3 linked regions of the Oryza sativa Japonica Group genome follow. Each later gene encodes a partner of the first gene's protein in a complex. Links are inferred from orthologs where the notes say so. Each region holds a gene or a part of one and is shown in the gene's direction. Other genes may lie near its edges.

Region 1 (4,298 bases):
TAACCAAACTTTCAATTTTGATGTTAACTAAACATACAATAATTTTTCTTCTGTCAGTCTGGGAGCATGCACTTTGCGAGACGGATGTTCGGAACTTCGGATGCAGTGGCTAATCGATCTCCGAGACTTGTTGATTAACCATGTTACGTAACATTATTATTTTTCTCTTCAGTTTTGTTATCTCTGAAAAATAATTTTTCTTTCGTTTTATTTGTTGGGATAATATATAATTATGTGTTTTTAAACAAAATTTAAGTTGTTTTGCTTCTTGTAATAACATGATCAATTGATCATATGAATGGGTTGTTAAGATTGATGCCATTTCAAATCATACCATTTTTTTTGGTAAAGTTGTTAAATATGTGCATCAATTTAATTTTTACCAAACTCTGATAAATACATAAGATATCATATCAAAATTTGGCAATATTGCCAAATTGAAAAAAAATTGGTAAGGTTTATTTTGGCTACAATCTGAATAGGCCCGAAATGTTTCTTTAATGGGACATCCAAGTCCGATCATACATTTAGGAATAAGTCTATTTTCACCTCACTCATCCCTTGCTGTTGGTCAAATGACATCCTTAAACCACAAAACAGGATATAACACCTCCCCCAACTTCAAAAACCAGTTTTTCATTCCGTCGGTGGTTTTGAAAGCGGTTCTTGCTGATGTAGCAATTTGGCTTGGTTAAGGTGGTATCTCAGTCATTAAAAGAATTAAAAATATAAATGGGTCTCACATGTAAGTGGTAAGGATGAAAATAAACAAAAACAGGGGAAGGGGTAGTTGTCAGCCCCACTCCTCCTTCTTCAATCTGTACACACCGCAAGCCACACCGCCGCACTTTGACGTGTCATAGTGCGGCTTGAAGCACATACAAATTGAAGAAGGGAGGAATGGAGCTGACAATTGGGTCCCAAATTTTTTTATTTTCATTCTTATCACTTACATATAGGACAAATTTCTATTTTCAATTGTTTTGATGACCGGGCTACCACGTCAGCATACCTAAACCAAAGTCAAATTGCCATGTCAGCAAAAGCCGCTTCCAAAACCATCTAAGGAGTCAATCTAAACCCGTTTTTGAAGTTGGAATGTTAGACTCGGTTTTACGGTTAAGGGATGCGATGCGACCAAGGGCAAAAAGAAAAAGAAAAAGAAAAAGAAGAGAGAGAGAGAGAGAGAGGTGAAACAGACTTATTCTGACATTTTAAGCTCAGGTTGGCCCAGCCTTGGCGTCATCTTCGTCTTCCCCAGCCCGCCAGATTGGCCCAGCCATGGCCTAGACGGCTGCCTCCCCGTCCCATTCCGGCGTCGATCTGCTCCGCTGTCTATCCGCGCCGCCGACCTCCTCGCATCGCCGATCCAAGTCGGTCCACCGAATCGAATTTCTACCGTTTTTCTTTGCTTTTCGGTTTCGTTCTCCGTTTTGGTTTTTTATCGTAGTTCCGTTCTGGGGTTTTATTTCGAATTGCCGTTTGCTCTCAGAAAACCGTACTTCCAAAATAAGCAAGCGAAACCTCCGGAACCAGTGTTCGGCCCAAGGCCCATCTCTCCTCTACGTCCGGCGGCGGCGCATCCCGGCCTCGCGCTCCGGCGGCGGCGGCCAGTCTGAGGCGGAGCGGCACCGCGGCACGGGAGGGCAGGGCGCAGCGGCGACGGCGAGGAAGCCAACCGGGCGCGGCAGCAAGGGAGACCGCGTCTTGTCTGCACGGCTCCATTAGCGGCTGGAGGTGGGACTGGAGCCGGGAGACCCAACTAGCGTCCACCGCCTCTCCGCCACCGCCGCCGCCGCCTCCCGCAACTTAGGGGGTTTTGCTGCGCCGGCGCGGCTCCAATCCGCTCCGGGGCGGACCTCGCCGGTCGACGGCCGCCATGTGAGCCCCCCATCGCCGTTTCCGCTCGTCACCGCTTGGTGTTCGTTAATGGCAGGCAGGCTGATCTCTACGTCTTCCTCCTCCTCCTCGCAGGGGCTTCGCGCGCGTGGAGCTGCGGTGCCCTAGGGCCCTCGACCCCCGCCCGAGCTGGACCCTCGGCGACGTCCTCACCGAGCTCGACGCGCTCGAGGCCACTCGCCGCACCGCGCAGCCCACGCCCCTCAAGCAGCCGCCGGAGTGGTATCTCTATTCTCCAATCCCTTGCGCTCCCTTGCTTATGGTTTCGCCGATAAGCTGCAATCGTTTCCCTCTACATTGCTTCTATATGATTTTTTTTTGGTTCATTTAGGGCTAGCAGTGGCAGCGTGAGGGAGAAGGCCTTTGTGATGCGGGTTGAAGAGGAAGATGACACGGATGAGGACGATTACGACAGTGATGGGGAGTCCCGGGCTCTTGTGGCCAAGGCCACTGGAGCAAGGTTCTCATGCAATGATCTTGAATCCAGGTGAAGATTTGATGCTGAAATTTGGCCACTGCAATTGCAATTTATTTGCTTTGAAGTACGGTACATTATCTGCAATTAAGTTTAAATGAATGGCGTATTGTGTGAGATATCCCCTTCTTTTGTTTTCTTCCTAGTGATGCTGAAGAATCAGAGGATGAAATGGATGGCAGGATTGCACCATATCACCTGATGGAGAAACGGAGCCTAGAGAAGAGCATTCTGCTTGAGCTGGAACGTGAGCATCATCTGAAAGTTCAAGTGTGTATTCATCAATCTATACTGTTATATCTTTCTTACTGAATGCAGTACTTATGGGCTGATTTTTCTTTGATGTGTTGGCAATAGACCATTGAATTATTTTCATTACCATTAATCCTCATTCTAGTTTAGGGTTACCATGGCATTAGGTTACACTTTACGGATCAACTTTATATCTTTTTCCTCACCTTTATGTAGGTATTTTAAGCTATCCAGGCATGTGGATGCTTCCATTATCTTTCATCTTTCTAAGGTTATACTGTATATGAATTCCTGAATGAAGCTTTTGTTTGTTCCCTTTAAGGTTAGTGTAGTGCCACACTGATATGGTTGGATAATGACATGATGAAATTTCAAGAAAAACAATACATCACTTCTGTTAGTTGCTACTTGAAGAAGATTTTTCAAATACAATACTGCATTTACTTCAAATTGGATATTGTGATCCAAGAAGTTTAACATAGAAAGCCAACAGGGATGTCATATGACTAAATTTCTAAGTATTGGGTATCATAGTACTAATTATCTTTTTGGCTGATGTTGCATGCCTTTATTTTTTACCATGATGGATTTATTAAATCTGCTGAATCCTTTTTGTTCATTTTCTTCATATGATTTTTTTTCTTCAGGAGGAAGTCAGAAGTAAACTATCTGCATTGGAGGTATGCCACCAAAGTGAAATCCAGCGAACAGTTTCTGCATTTGCTCGACTACAGAAATACGCAGAATCAAGAAAAGAGATAGACAGAAGGCTAGATGTCCACTTCCAGAGAAAAATGTATGTTTTTGTTGTTGAATTGTTTCTCCTGTGTCTTTTTAAATCTACATTTCATGATTACTGTTGATTTTTCAAATTTTGAGGAAACTGTATGTTTTACAAGGTCTTTGGTGATGCAATTTTCTGGGACTAGGGTTAACTTCTGTACTAGTTTGTTCTCTTTTGTTACTGGAGGATTTTCTGTGGCACATATCAAGATATTCTTGTACTAGTTTGTCAAGACTGAATTTTTATTGGTGGTTGCTTTGTAAAGTTATGCCATTTTTATTTGTCATAACTCAATTTATTTTATTGTAAAGAGGGCTTACAAAGTGCTAAGTTTTTCATTCCAATATAGTTTATTACTCCTGAGTGGAAAAGGTATATATTCATGAAGGCTGACGGACCTTGCTAGTAGCTACACAGTTTATCATGGATTATTTCTAGTGCACATAGTTTTGAAGAGAAAACAATCATCTCCTATATGCACAAATTCCAATATAAAGGTTTATTGGGTGATTGTGGACTAATACTAAGATCCTTAATGTTTCCTCCACCATTTGCTATTATCCTCATCGTTATTTGGTTAAATTTGCTACTTAAATGATCAATGAGAAATTCCAAGCCCAAGGTTTCAGCTCTTTACATTTTGCAGCAATTTATATATTCTATTCACAACTGATTAAATCGTGTGGGTTTAACGTACAAATATTCCATACTTATACCTGTGGTGTTTGGTCAAATGATTAGCGACTGAGACTAAGGGTTGACTATTTTTTAAATGCTCTATTTGTGTTATATAAGGAATTAACTATCTGTGACACAATTATATAGTTTTTGTACTTCTTTGTGTAGTAACTTTATGTTCCAGTTCAATCATTAGCACTGTAAATATTT
Region 2 (6,678 bases), on another chromosome or scaffold:
GGGAAAAAATAGAGTTTTCCAAAGCTTTTTCAAACAGGCTCTAAGCTTCTAATTTCAACATCAAGGGTAGGGGTGGATACTGACATGACTCGGCTCGGTCTACTCGTTAGGATAACGAGCCGAATCCTAACTCGGCTCGACTGGCAACTCTAGCTAGCTTGTTTAGCTCGCGAGCCAATACATCCGTGACTCAATAGAAATCTCTCACTTCGAGATTCTGGCTGCCAACAATTTTTTTTGCAATTGCTTAAGAAATCAAACAACCGACAAATCACAAAGACTTGGCACAAATTTTTTTTTACACATTGCATCCATAAAAACAGATCTGAAAGTCTCGTCATATTGGAACCAAACAAAACACCAAGCAAACACCCTAGTGAATCCTAGACCAACCAAAATTAACATGGGAGATTGACTTGCCGAAGTGCCGAACTGCCGACGGCGACGAGGACGGCAAGATTGAACTTTTGCTCCTTGATTTATAACTTGTAGCGCTGTCGATGGAGTTGCATGCTCTTGCATCCTGCAGCAGGGGACCTTCACCCTGCTTGTTCGTCTTCCTCACGACGACGAGACTGAGACAAGGCCACGCTTGCCACGGAGTTGGCCGACCGGCTGGAGCGGCGACGAGAGGAAGCGCGGCACCGTGAGCTCACAAACCACGCTGTTGCTGCCCCCTAGAGGCTGGTGGTGACGGCCAGGTCGTCGACGATGCCGGCGTGAGGGCTTGGGCGACACTATGGCGATGTGATACTGGACAGAAACAGCGTGCGCTGTAGATTGGGGAATGGGGAAATCAATCGATCTATTTGATATAACTAGGGTTTAGTGGAAATCAGTGGATCTGATGGGCCTTAGGCCTACAAATAACAATGCGATCCACCTCAGCACTCCTGGGCTGCTTTGTTTTTCCATGGCTCATTTAGCTCGCGAGCCAGCTTGAGCTCGCTCGTTATAGCAAACGAGCTAACCCTGGCTTAGCCCGTTAATAAATACAAACGAGCCGAGTCGAGTTAGTCACGAGCTATGAGCTTTTTGGTATATTTTTGTTATAGTTTTTAGGGTTAATTGGATCCATGCCACTGTAAATGTGGCAAATTAGAAAAATACCACTACTATTTGTTTTATTGGCTAGGTGCCACTACAAATTTTTAAAATTGAAACCATGCCACTCCGTCACTATTTCTGTCGTTCTCTCTCACGTCGTCATCCTCTAATCTCACGTAGGCACGGCGAGGGCAAGAAGACGAGGCGGCCGCCGGCGAGGACGTCGCGAGCGCGGGGAGCGGCTGCGGCCACGGCCGGCGAGGATGGAGACGGACGCCGAGTGGTTGAACAGCAGCTTGCCGACGTCGCGGACGGCAGAGCCAACAGGTCGAGGAGGCGGAGTGGCGGAGTTGCCGGCCGGCGTCATGGCCGCCATGCCGCCGTGCTAACCGTGCAGAGGCTGCATCCACGCCACCATGCCGCCATGACACGCACCGCGTGCTTGACGCATACGAACATGGACCTGGCATTGACAGCCATGACGCGGTCGTACTCGTCGATGTCGAGCACGCCGAGCGAGTCCGGAGCCTGTGCTCCTATGATCCGGCGTTGCTGTAGAGGACGTCGAGGCGGCCGTGGCGCGTAATGGCGAGGTCAACGGTCGCGGCAACATCCGCCTTGACAGTGACATCGCTGTGCGTGTACAACGCGCGTCAGCGCCGAGCTTGGCAGCGACGGCACGGCGTTCGCCCGCTGCTGCTCTCGCTCCCCATGCCATCGCCACCGCCGGAGTGCCGCCGCGGGGTTCCGTTGCTGCTGCTCCTGCTCCCGCTCCCGGAGCGCGCCGGAGTGCCGCCCGCGACCCGCCGCGTCGCCCCGAATCGTCAACTGCCGCGCCGTCGTTGGGGGCGGGCTGCGCCGCGGCGGCCTTGTGCTGCTGCTGTTGTGTGTACCGTCGCTACCGTAAGTGGTGGTCGCCGGGGGAGCCGAGGCGGCGAGCCACCAGACTAGCTCGTCGGCGGGGCTCTCCCTGACCAAGCCACTATGCACGCAGTCCATGGAGGACGAGAGCTGCTCGTGGAGGACATGGAGATGCACGGCGAGGATGAGCTCCTCTTCCTCAACGGCGTCCGACGAGAAAGGTGGTAATGCATAGCGGCAACCGCGCGAGGAACGAGGCCCGCAGCTGCGGCAACCGGCATTGTGAAAATCAACGATGGGAACGGCGCCGGAGGTGAAGAAGATGAAGGCCGATCTCCCCGTTCCCCGTGTCTCCGGCTGAGGTTCTTGAGGCTTCTTGAAGAGGACGTCGAGGCGACGACGGTGGCGCCATGGCTTGCTCCGGCGTGCTCCGGTTTGACGGCGACAAAGACGATGTCCCGGTGATGGCGTCTAGTCCCGGCAGCCCCCACGGCGGCACGGACCATAGAGTTAGGAAATTAACGGGGGAACGACGGAAAAGGCGACGGGATGGCATGGATTCAATTTCCCAAAATTCCAGCGGCACCTAGCCAATATCGTAAATAGTAGTGGTATTTTTCTAATTTGATACATTTACAATAGCATGGATCCAATTAACCCTAGTTTTTATCATAGGTCATTTATATAACAAGTTTTGTGGAAGATTCAAAATATCATTTTTTTGGCAATTTATGTCCCAAATATACTACCAAGCATAAAAAAAATAAAATACCAATTCTATTTCTGCCGTGAATTATTATGGAAGTAAAGAGAAACCGTTCAAATGATAAGGAAGGCAAACCTTGCAGAGAAGGGAATTATCAATCGGAACACATCGCTGCGCGTGTTCATCATACTACCTACGAAAGTACGAAGCCGTCAGGAAGGAAGAGCCCTCAAAAAACGTTTACCACTTAACCCCCTTGAAACTCCTTGTAATCACCATCCCACCCCACCCCCCCTCCGTCCCCCACGGGGCTCTTCTTCCCCCGGTTATTCGTTCGCCTCTCCCAAAACCCTAGCCCTCCGCGAGCGCGCGATCCCCGAAACCCTAACCCCGCCTTCCCCTCCACATCGGCGCCGTCACATGGCCTCCCGGGGAGCCTACGACGGCGGCTCCGGCGCCGGAGGCAAGATCCGGAGGCGCCCCCCGTCCCGCGCCGCCGCCGCCTCGCCCTACGCGCGCCCCGCCCCCGCATCCGCGGCGACGCGCCTCGGCGGCGGCGGCGGCGGCGGCGGCAGCGGCGGGTGGTTCTCCCGCCTCGTGGCCAGCGGCGCCTCGCTCCTCCTGCCCTCCGTGTTCCGCAAGCCGCCGCCGCCGCAGCCGGAGCACGAGCGGGAGCGGGAGCATCTCGGCGAGCCGCCTTCGCTGCCCGAGTTGCTCGAGGAGGCGCCCTCGCAGGCGGAGACGCTCGATACTCCGCCGTCGCCTCCGCCTCCGCCTCTAGGTTTGTTTGACCGCGTTCGCCGCTAGCTTTGTTGGGGCCCTGTTGGTGTTGTGTGATGTTGTGCAGTTTGGTGCAATCATTTCGCATAGGCCAAACCAACTCTAAATCTCTGTAGTCGATTAATTTAGTAGCTTCAATCAATGTAGATCGGCATGTTGCGTTGCATATGGACTCTTAGCTATGTTACTATGTAGTAGCTGTTGTTTATTTTGTCCGTTCTTCCGACGATTGGGGGATGACGGCGTAATCGATGCTTTCATACAAAGTGGCGATTGTCGGTTCACGTGTTGTTAGTGACTGCTGGCAAACTTACAAAGTTTCCTGTTGTTTGTATACACAGAAGATGACATTCCGGAAGAAGAAGAAGAGGGCACCGGAACCGTGGCTAATGTAAGCTGGCTCTGTAAATGCATATTGTAAATTTGCGTATTCCACGTTGTACTTGTCGGATAATAACCTACTAGTTATCATGGTTAGATGTTTGCTATGCTTTTTTAAGCACTATAAGTTTATATAGAAATTAAAACATTGACTTCTATTTTAAGCCGGTAGAATTTAACCTCTTTCACTTGAAATATATGGTCGTTATTATTCTTGCAAGATTTATTAATTGATACTTCTTTGAATGGATAATAAGATAACATGTGTAACCATATGAAGTCTTCTTAAGTTACACACTTACATTTTTGTCCAGTGCCAGTGCTACTTATTTTACCTTGATACCCTATTGAATCTTCCATATGATCAAGTTCCTAAACACATGTTGCTTTATATGTGGAATCTGTCCATTGTCAATCCTCAGAATTCTGCCAAAGATGGAGATGACATTCTTAGAAGGTCTGATAGCTATGACGTTATGGATCTTGAAGAACTATTGAAACAGAGGACATTCACGAGGCAAGTACCTGTTTTTGTATAACATTAATAGGCTCATGTTTAGCAAGTAATTTGAGCAGTATTAGATTTGTTGCTAGCATTTCAGTAACTGGTAGGCATAGGTACCGCCGATATATCTTTTAATTGCATAATACCCCAAATACAGCATACACCTAAGGAACTGAACTTGATCTGCAATGATGGGGTACATCCATGAAGTTCATAACACAGCATCACACTATTACCATGAAATGATTTGTACTAATAATAATTTCTATGTGACCAAGAAAATATAAACCATGAGGCTATAGAAAACATGGGTTTCCCTAACTGGTTTTTCTTTTTTTAGGAGAAAAAGAAGTGTACTTCAGTTCTAAAGCTGGGAACTAAGAAATGGACAGTTGTATGGCATTTACTTTGGTATTAGTTAGTTGTAGAAAATACCATTGACATTTCTGGAAGGTTCTGTTACCTTAGATAATTTTTCTTACCCGTGTCTTCTTTTTCTCATACGTTTGTTTATGCTACCACATTCTCTCCTGTACCTTCTCCCTTCTTTTTTTCTCACTTACCGAGACCAATTTTCTGTGGTGAAGTTATACTTCATTGTTAATGTCATGAACCGAGGCCATGATGGCATAACCACCACTGGGAGGGTAGCCGGGCGGCGCCGGCTATTGGAGAAGGGATGTATATTTAGACTAGGGATAAGAAGATATTAAGGAAAGAAATTATACTAATCTGATTCATTGCTTAATGATAATAGACACAATCCCATCCTTATATAGATTATATAACTTGATCCTTAAGTAAGGACTCAATCTAATCTTTGACTGATAATCTTATCTCTATATGGGCTGCTTATGGCCCTCAGCCTTTTGGCTCAATGCTCATCACAATTAACTTACTTTATTGTAGTTCCATTTAGGCTGGTATACATTGGAGAACACTAAGAAAATTGATACATCCTGCATAGAAAAAGAAGTTCGCATTTTCTTTGTAGCAGTTAATGCATCAGCCTGCAGTTGTATATGATTTGCGTACATGATTTGTATGGAGTAGCAATGCAGTTGGGGGAACACATCTTCTTGATAGTTCAATCCTCATTTATCCTTTAATACTTCCATGCTTCTGTATGAGTTGAAGTGCAATGCCATGTTTTCTTTGCTAGATCCTATTGTTGTGAATACCTGTTTTGCCTATTGCATTGTAACTTGCAAATTTGTTTTGCTAATGTCCAAGTGTACAGTAGAAATGCGAAAACATATTTCTATCTTACAAATAATTTTCTGTCTTGCAGGAGTGAATTTGAATATTTGTCTGAGTTGTTGTTATCTAGAACGGTTGGGTCCAAATTATTGATTCCAGGAGTTGGTAATATGAAGAAAATGCATTTTCCTGAGAAGGCAAGTCGATCTGGAGACTTACCTGTTGATTTCTCCTTTAGAACATTCAACACTTCTGTTAATACGCAAGTCATGTTGCTCACTAAATATTCCTGTTCATATGATGAAATTGATTTCTTTTACAATCACCCATACTGTACTGTACAGAACATAATTTAAAGTGTTGAAGCAACAATATAATTTCTTATTTTTAAGATACTAGAAAAAATGCCCGTGCGTTGCAATGGGTAAATGCTATTTTAATTTTATTGTTGTTATATGGTTTAGCTAGGGTAAAATTCACTGTGGGAATTCGCTTGGATATTTTTTTTTGAAAATCATAAGCTGCAAGAGTCCGTATATCATCTCAAGTTAGCATGCGAGTTTTTTTAATGATATTTCTTATACGACTCCTTCTGTATTTCCAAAAGCAAATGAGCTTAAAATCCAACTCAAACACGGATCTGTATTTCTAAAAGTGAACGAACTTAAAAACCGACTCAAACCCGGATGACATACCAAAATACCGGCAAAAACATCTTCAATTTTTATAATAGTAGAGATATGGCATATTGTTGAGTTAAAACCCTTGACCAGCAGAATAGTTTGTTATTTTTTTTTCGAAGTTGAGGAAAGCATATCATAGGTCCCCCTTATTCCCTAAATTTTTGCAGGTCACTTGGGTCTCTGGATTTGAGTGGGTACATAAAATTGTATAAGTGGGTCAACAAAGTCATCCTACTTTTTTTTTTGGTATACTTGTATAAGTGGTCTGTAGTTGCTTATTAGGCATGGTTTAAACCTGTACTTATGCACATACACATGTTTAGGGGCCTATATGTGCAATTTTCGACTTTAGAAACCCAACTTTTAGTAGTCCCTGGTACACATACTTCTTTTTTCTATTCCTACATGAGTTTCACTTGCGATTCTATCTACATTTGCCACAAAATAGCAAAGCTCGTACCATGAACTATTTTATCTCCTGACACATTTGTTGTTTATACCATTGATATGCCATA
Region 3 (6,763 bases), on another chromosome or scaffold:
TACCACGGTTACAGGAAACCTTGTACATGTGGGGGTGTTTGCAACTGCCAATAACACAGAAACATGAGAACCTTATGCAACTAATGGTCGTTATTCAGCTGCATGTGATGAGATACGAGGAATTTTTTTGCTCATGTTTTCTTTCTAATTGTGTCGGATGTGTTTGTGCCTCAGTTTCTGCATTCTGAAGAGAAATTCAGGGAGATATACACACATGGTTTTACAGAAGAAAGATACAGGGGCACATGACACTTAATCTGATATTCATGCATTAGCTGATGTTTCATGTGTGTGTAGGACCAATTAGGGCTTAATTATAGCAGCAAACTAACAGTCATGTGAGAAGATATCAAGGTTTCAGATTATGCCTGGCAAACGTTAGATAGCTGCTCCATTTCTGAAAATGGCAGAGGTACTAATTATAACGACATATACAATAGTCGATATCTTTCGTCAGTACTATATATATGCTCTGCAAGATTAGCTCTATGACAAAATGCTTTTTCATGGTCGAAAAGAAGTGCAAACATAAACCAAATGTGCTGATAGAGTCTTAAAGAAAAACTAAATGTGCTGATACCATTCATCCGACCAGATCGTTGGCCACATTTTGTGCGATCTTGCTGTCGTAAGGATGCCCAGCTAGCTAACCGCTCCTGTCAAATGCTGATGAACAGGTAGCACATGCAATTAGATAATGACGCGTCAGCGCTGTTGATACGATGGCTGCATGCAGAGGAGGAGATATATATGGATTAAGATCACAGATCACTCCTGCTGTCATTAGAATTCTGAGGTTTGATGAATTGCTTAATACTCCGATCCAAGCTATACTGAATATTACGTATACTGATCATGATCATGATCATAGCACACTCATGTATGGATGCAGACATAGTGGCCATACTGTCCAATCATCCGTATGACAGAGATCTATATATGCATCAAGGTTTTTAGGATCTTCACGTTTTGCTGTCTTGTCTGGCTGGCCCGTAGCTGATGCTCGTGTCCAGAAATAAGCAGGCAGAGAAACAGTTCGTCAGAATGGGCAGCATAGTATTTTTTTTTTCTCCAACGCGCGAAAACCTTACATGCTCGTATATATTAACAATTTAACAGAAGAAAAAACTTTTACAACTGCGACCAACTGACACAATCATAGGAGGTTATAAGGGAAAGGGGGAAAAATTAATCAGGCATGAAGCTAATATCAAAGGGCAAATTAATCTAGCTAGCTACTACAGCTAGCACCAGCATGAGCAAATATACAACAGGGTTGCATTAACTGATCGATCAGCTAGCTCCCCTCATGGTGATCATAGAGATGACGACGAAGACGCAGTGTGGATCGATATGAAGGAGAGATCAGCTTGCAGCTGCAGCTATGCAAGCTCACTGAGGCTTTCATCGGATGGCCTAATCAATCAAAGAAAAAGCTAAATTTTAAATTTTCAAACTTAATTTTAATATTGATTTTGAGATATTTTCAACGTAACTTCTTTTTCAGCATTGACTTTTAAGTCACCAAGAACACATATATAAAAGTTTTATCTATAAATTTATTTCTATTTTCTAATAAGCCGTTAGAAAAAGGGCTTGACAGTTGTACGAGACGACGGCAACGGCACCGTACGCCGTCACGGCTGCGATATGAATCCACGGCAAGTGATCCGATGCATGCATGTGTTGCAGGGATGCAATTGCGGCAGTGCCTGCCTTGTGGTGGGGACGTGATGCTGTTGGATCATCGATGGATGGATCGAGCAGGCTGCAGGCAGATCGGCAGGCGGTGTCGTCGATGCGTCATGCACGGCCGGTCCGTCCGTCGACATGCATGGAGATTGGAGACGACAGCCGACAGGCAAGGCCATGACTGCAACCCATTAATGTATAACTCCGGGTTTCCTGGTATTCATCGTGCCAGTGGAGGAAGCAGATATATCTAACGTTAGTATTACCGTAACTAACGTGTACAGTAGGCCCTATCATTCTCGGCCTCATATGTTAACCATCACGTCAGAGAAAAGTTACATTAGAGGATCTAAATCCCCGATGAGTGGGTGTTTTAATTGCTCCCTGTTGATATGTCTCACCAGTTATGTTTTCCTTTTGAGAAAAACAATGAAAATGTTGAGATTCATAACGTACGCACCCTCTCACCCTATAAAAACACACATGTAAACCTCATCCTTATGAGCACATTTAAAAAACTGGGCTAGCAAATCTTGAGATTAACAAATAAGTCACTACGTTGCTTACCACTGAAAAAAAATAAATGCGAGTACCCGTATCAAATCTTACTTGGACTCGAATGGGTTAGTTCCACCATAAAAAATCTAATCAACTAAATCATAAGAAATCTAATCTGTTGAGCTACGCTCATCTCAAACATTTAATTTCTAACACCTAATATGCACAAACACACACAATATTACATGCGCTTATCAATATACCCTTAAAACACAGTAAAAAAATATTACTTCCTCCGTTTCACAATGTAAGTCATTATAATATTTCCCACATTCATATTGATGTTAATGAATATTCATTAACATCAATATGAATGTGGGAAATATTATAATGACTTACATTGTGAAACGGAGGAAGTAGCAACAAATACCTGATGTTACTAAAATACTAATAAAAGCTTTACATACGCGTATATAATTTTTATGGTAATATACTAATGTCTATAAGCAATTTTCTCATCTTTTGAAAGTGCCCGTAGGGGAAAGATATGTGTACGTGTATTCATAGGGGTGAGTGTGCGTAAGTTGTGAGCGTCTGCGCTGTAGTATGTTTCAAAAAATGTATTTTTAGAAGCATCTCAAAATATAATATTTTTGGACGGAGGTAGTGGAACAGCCCGACAGGTAGGTCCCACATGTCATGCCATTACGGGCTGGACCGGTTCACTTCCCTTCAAAAGCCCAAAAGCCCACTTATTTGTTTCTAAGGCCCATGGACAAGTAGGCCTGACCTGCCATCCCAAACCCCAAACCCCGCATTTCTCTTTCTCCGGCGGCAAGCACTCGACCTCGTCGGCGGCGATGACCCGCATCACCGCGCCGCCGCCGCCGTCCTCGCCGCCCTCATCCCCGCCTCCCCTCCGCCACTCCCCCGCTGCCCTGGGCACCCCGCGCTCCCGCCGCCGCCACTCGCCTTCCCCGTCCCTCGCGCTCACCCCGTCCTCCTCCGCCTCCGCCTCCGCCTCCGCCTCCACCTCGTCGAGGCCCAAGGTGCGGCCGTCGCCGAGGAGGGCCTACGCCGCGGCTCAGTGGGTGGCGCTCCCCTCTCACCCCGCATTCTCCCGCGGGGACGGCGGGGAGGGCCTCGGCGGCGGCGGTGGCGGCGCCGCGTGGGATGCGTCGGCGTCGCGGCTGTACGTGTGGGACCCTTCGGCGCGAGGCGTACACCGGATATGCGTGCGGGTTCGCGATGCGGAGGCGGGGAAGGACGGGGATGATGTCGCCGTGGAAGCCGCCGTGCCTTCCGAGGTGAGGTCGTTTCCTCTTGTGGTTGTGTCAGTTCTCACTTGTAAAAGTGATGCAATTCCTTTCTAGACACTGAACTGGAGGCATTTGTTTGAGTTTTCACGTTTGTGAATTAGGTCAACTTGCAATTCACTAACAAATGTTGTGCTAGTGAGTGCAAAAAATGGAATTCTTAGTGTCGCCTAGGGGGTTTGTAGTTTAAAATGTGTTGCAGGAAATAAACATATCGTGTCATGCTATTTTTGATACTGGAGGTAGTAATTAGTAGCTGATGTTGCCTATGCTGTCCAGATGTTGATGCCGGAGACTGATCTTGGTTACAAGGTCACTCATTTATCACTTAATACCGACGGTTCATCGCTACTACTTGCTGGATCACATAACATAAGTATTCTGTATGTGCATGAGAGGGTTTCTGAAGATGGTGATAAGGTCATATGCAGGTACATAAGTCCACTATAGCTTTATCTTATGTTATTAGTATTGTACTGGTATTTTTCCCGACCATCTTGCAATTATTTAAGCTGCAATAGGTTGTTGCATATATACATGCAGCATATTCATAGCCGTGAACACTAAGAGTAGGTTTCTCTGAGTACTCTTATCATCAGGGTATTGAAGAACGCAACTCCAAAATTTTATTTCACCTTGCTCTTTAGATTTATGACCTGAATCATTATTTCTCTTCCTTTTTTTAATATCATTACTCATATCTTCTTTCTTTCATTGTATTGACTTGTACATATGGACCTTACAACAGGACTGTGCCAGTTGCTTCTCAGATCTTACCTAGCAACAATGATGGCATCAAAGTACTGCAAACATCGTGGCACCCTTTTAGCAGTAGTCATTTTGGAGTCTTGACATCAGATGCTGTTTTCAGGTTTGATAAATGAGTATCGATGCTAGATGGAGGAATTCCACTTTATCTATGCTTCCTTGCTATTTATTGGATTTGATTGGAATGGAAATACGTCTTTTACATCCACACTTAAATTAATTGAAGACAACACTTGCTTTTAAAAATAATTATTGCATGACCCTTTTATAGAAGTTTTGTTATTATTTCTGCAGGTTATTTGATCTGTCATTTGATTTAGAGCAACCAGAGCAGGAGTTCTATTTGCAACCAATTCTACCTGGCAAATGCCAGAATGCTTCATCAATTTGTCCAGTGGCATTCTCATATGGGAGTGATCATCTGTGGGATAGATTTTCGGTATGTTTCTTGAATATTGATCCCCTAAATATTGTAGAAGTCATCTGGAAAAAAATATAGTAAATGATCTACAGTGTCTTTATTAGCTGAAAACAAAACCAGAATGATTTTTCATCCGATGGGATTGTTTTGTAATTTAGCAAGCAATATCATAGCATAGTTAATATTAAACCACAAAATAGGATATTAGAGTCCTACCCGAATTAGCCTTATAGAATCTACTCCCTCCGTCCTACAAAAAACCAACCTAGGTGGGGATGGGACACCACCTAGGACAATGAATCAGGACATGATTCATTGTCCTAGGTGGTGTCCCATCCCCACCTAGGTTGCCTTTTTTTGGGACGGAGGGAGTACTTGTTTGCTTCACACATGGGATTAACCTTGTAGTTTCTTTATTTACATCTGTAGCAAGATTTAGGGTGTCACAAGTCATATTACTACATAAATGAACTTGGCAGCTGATTGCATGGTTTCTACGCCCAAACCCTTTTTTTCTGGAACATCTAATAATGTTTGTCCCCACTATTCATGAAAGAGTTACTGGAATACTTTTGATACTTTATGCATCACTTTCTTTCATGTCACCTTTTCAATTGGTTGTTTCGACATATGTAATATTTTTAGTAGTTTCGGCATACTTCGTATGTTTAATGGCTCATTTATGTGCTTAATTTCACATGTAAGCCTGTCCTTTTACAGGTTTTCATCTTATTCAGCGATGGTTCAATTTTTGTGCTCTGCCCCATTGTTCCATTTGGAAGGTAAGTATTGCATTTATTTCTGCCCTCCCCCACCCCTCTTTTCTCTCTATTGGGAAGAAGGCTTACAACAATTTGACAGCATGATGGTCCTAATTTGTTAAAACAAAAAAAATACTGTACTAATTTTGTTTATGGGAAATAAATTATGGTCCCTGCAGTTTCACACTTTCACTTTGTAGTCTTGTATTTATGAAATGCGACCTTAATGATATGATCATATGGTGCCCTTTCTTTATCTGCATATTGGTTTTGACTTTATTTTTTTTCCCTGTGATGCAGCGATTACAATAAGAAGCATATTCAAGAAATATATGAAGATGTTAATTCATTTGGATTGAAATCCTCAAACCAAAATGTTGTCACCAACTCACGTTTGGCAATTGCTTGGTTGGAAGCAACGTTTCCTGACTTGTCACGTCAGCCAGCTGATAATAGTGCATTGATGTCTAGAGCTCATCCATACGCATCATTAGATGATTCTCTAACTTTACAGGTCTGCTTCTATTTGACTTGGTGAAATATTGTTCGAACCAAAAGCTAGTGGACTATGCTAATGCAATGACCAGAGAAATGTGAATTTGGTGCTCATGCAGCTGGTCATAATCAATCCATTGTTTTTTAGTATATGAGATTTATTGTTTTGTAGGAGTTAGGAGCTGATTGGTTTGCGACCAGACATTTCCACAACTTGCATGTAGCGGCGGTGTCTACCGCAGACATGTACCGCATTCACATGTCTGCATGAAAACTTTTGTGCTAGTACGATTTGCTGCCACAGTTTGGAATTGGTAGTGCGCCCCAGGGTTCACCTTTCTGATCGAAAACCGCAAAAGCCGCTCGGTTTTCGTGAAACTGTTGGGGATTGGTTTGTGAAAATTGAGTGTTTTTAGATGGTTTTCATACGGAGTTGACCAAATTTGTCAGATTTTACCCGTTTTTGCTTAGTTTTTGGTAAACCGAAAGTGGTTTTCACCTTGAAAATGGAAATGTGAACCCTGGTGTGCACAAGATTTGCGCTTCATTGGCTCAAGAATGGCCATAATTACTATTGTACTCAGTTTTGGTCATGACCTAAACCATGGATTAAGTTGTCCAGATAGTTCCCATGTTTTTCTGGGCCAGTTCGCAATGGCTATGACAGAAAGAAAGGAAAACAAGAGACAGCACTAACTAAAACTTCTGTCTTACAAAATCATGTATGATTTTTTTGACCGGAAAACATTAGGGGAGGCTATTTGACTTTATTACTCTAGGTCTACAAAATTCTGTAAATTAGTTTCTGGTAC

The links. The genes of interacting proteins can lie anywhere in the genome.
Region 2: mRNA export factor GLE1 (region 1) and nuclear pore complex protein NUP1 share a complex: the UniProt entries of both Arabidopsis thaliana proteins name them as parts of the nuclear pore complex. The link is inferred for Oryza sativa Japonica Group from reciprocal best matches to the Arabidopsis thaliana genes GLE1 and NUP1.
Region 3: mRNA export factor GLE1 (region 1) and nuclear pore complex protein NUP88 share a complex: the UniProt entries of both Arabidopsis thaliana proteins name them as parts of the nuclear pore complex. The link is inferred for Oryza sativa Japonica Group from reciprocal best matches to the Arabidopsis thaliana genes GLE1 and MOS7.

The regions. Positions count from the first base shown.
Region 1 is NC_089036.1:23,620,042-23,624,339, reverse strand, and holds the start of mRNA export factor GLE1, read left to right. Parts: upstream 1-1,498; 5' UTR 1,499-1,879; coding exon 1,880-1,881; intron 1,882-1,974; coding exon 1,975-2,121; intron 2,122-2,230; coding exon 2,231-2,386; intron 2,387-2,520; coding exon 2,521-2,644; intron 2,645-3,273; coding exon 3,274-3,422; intron 3,423-4,298. UniProt on the Arabidopsis thaliana protein: Required for seed viability.
Region 2 is NC_089046.1:16,300,523-16,307,200, forward strand, and holds the start of nuclear pore complex protein NUP1, read left to right. Parts: upstream 1-2,912; 5' UTR 2,913-3,034; coding exon 3,035-3,395; intron 3,396-3,735; coding exon 3,736-3,785; intron 3,786-4,197; coding exon 4,198-4,292; intron 4,293-5,571; coding exon 5,572-5,677; intron 5,678-6,678. UniProt on the Arabidopsis thaliana protein: Nucleoporin required for nuclear mRNA export. Functions as an adapter and/or regulator molecule in the periphery of the nuclear pore complex (NPC). May interact with importin proteins and mediate active nucleocytoplasmic transport through the NPC.
Region 3 is NC_089038.1:31,296,220-31,302,982, forward strand, and holds the start of nuclear pore complex protein NUP88, read left to right. Parts: upstream 1-2,997; 5' UTR 2,998-3,050; coding exon 3,051-3,497; intron 3,498-3,785; coding exon 3,786-3,937; intron 3,938-4,254; coding exon 4,255-4,377; intron 4,378-4,568; coding exon 4,569-4,713; intron 4,714-5,415; coding exon 5,416-5,477; intron 5,478-5,756; coding exon 5,757-5,970; intron 5,971-6,763. UniProt on the Arabidopsis thaliana protein: Involved in the regulation of exportin-mediated nuclear protein export. Required for resistance mediated by multiple R proteins and for the appropriate nuclear accumulation of SNC1 and of the downstream defense signaling components EDS1 and NPR1.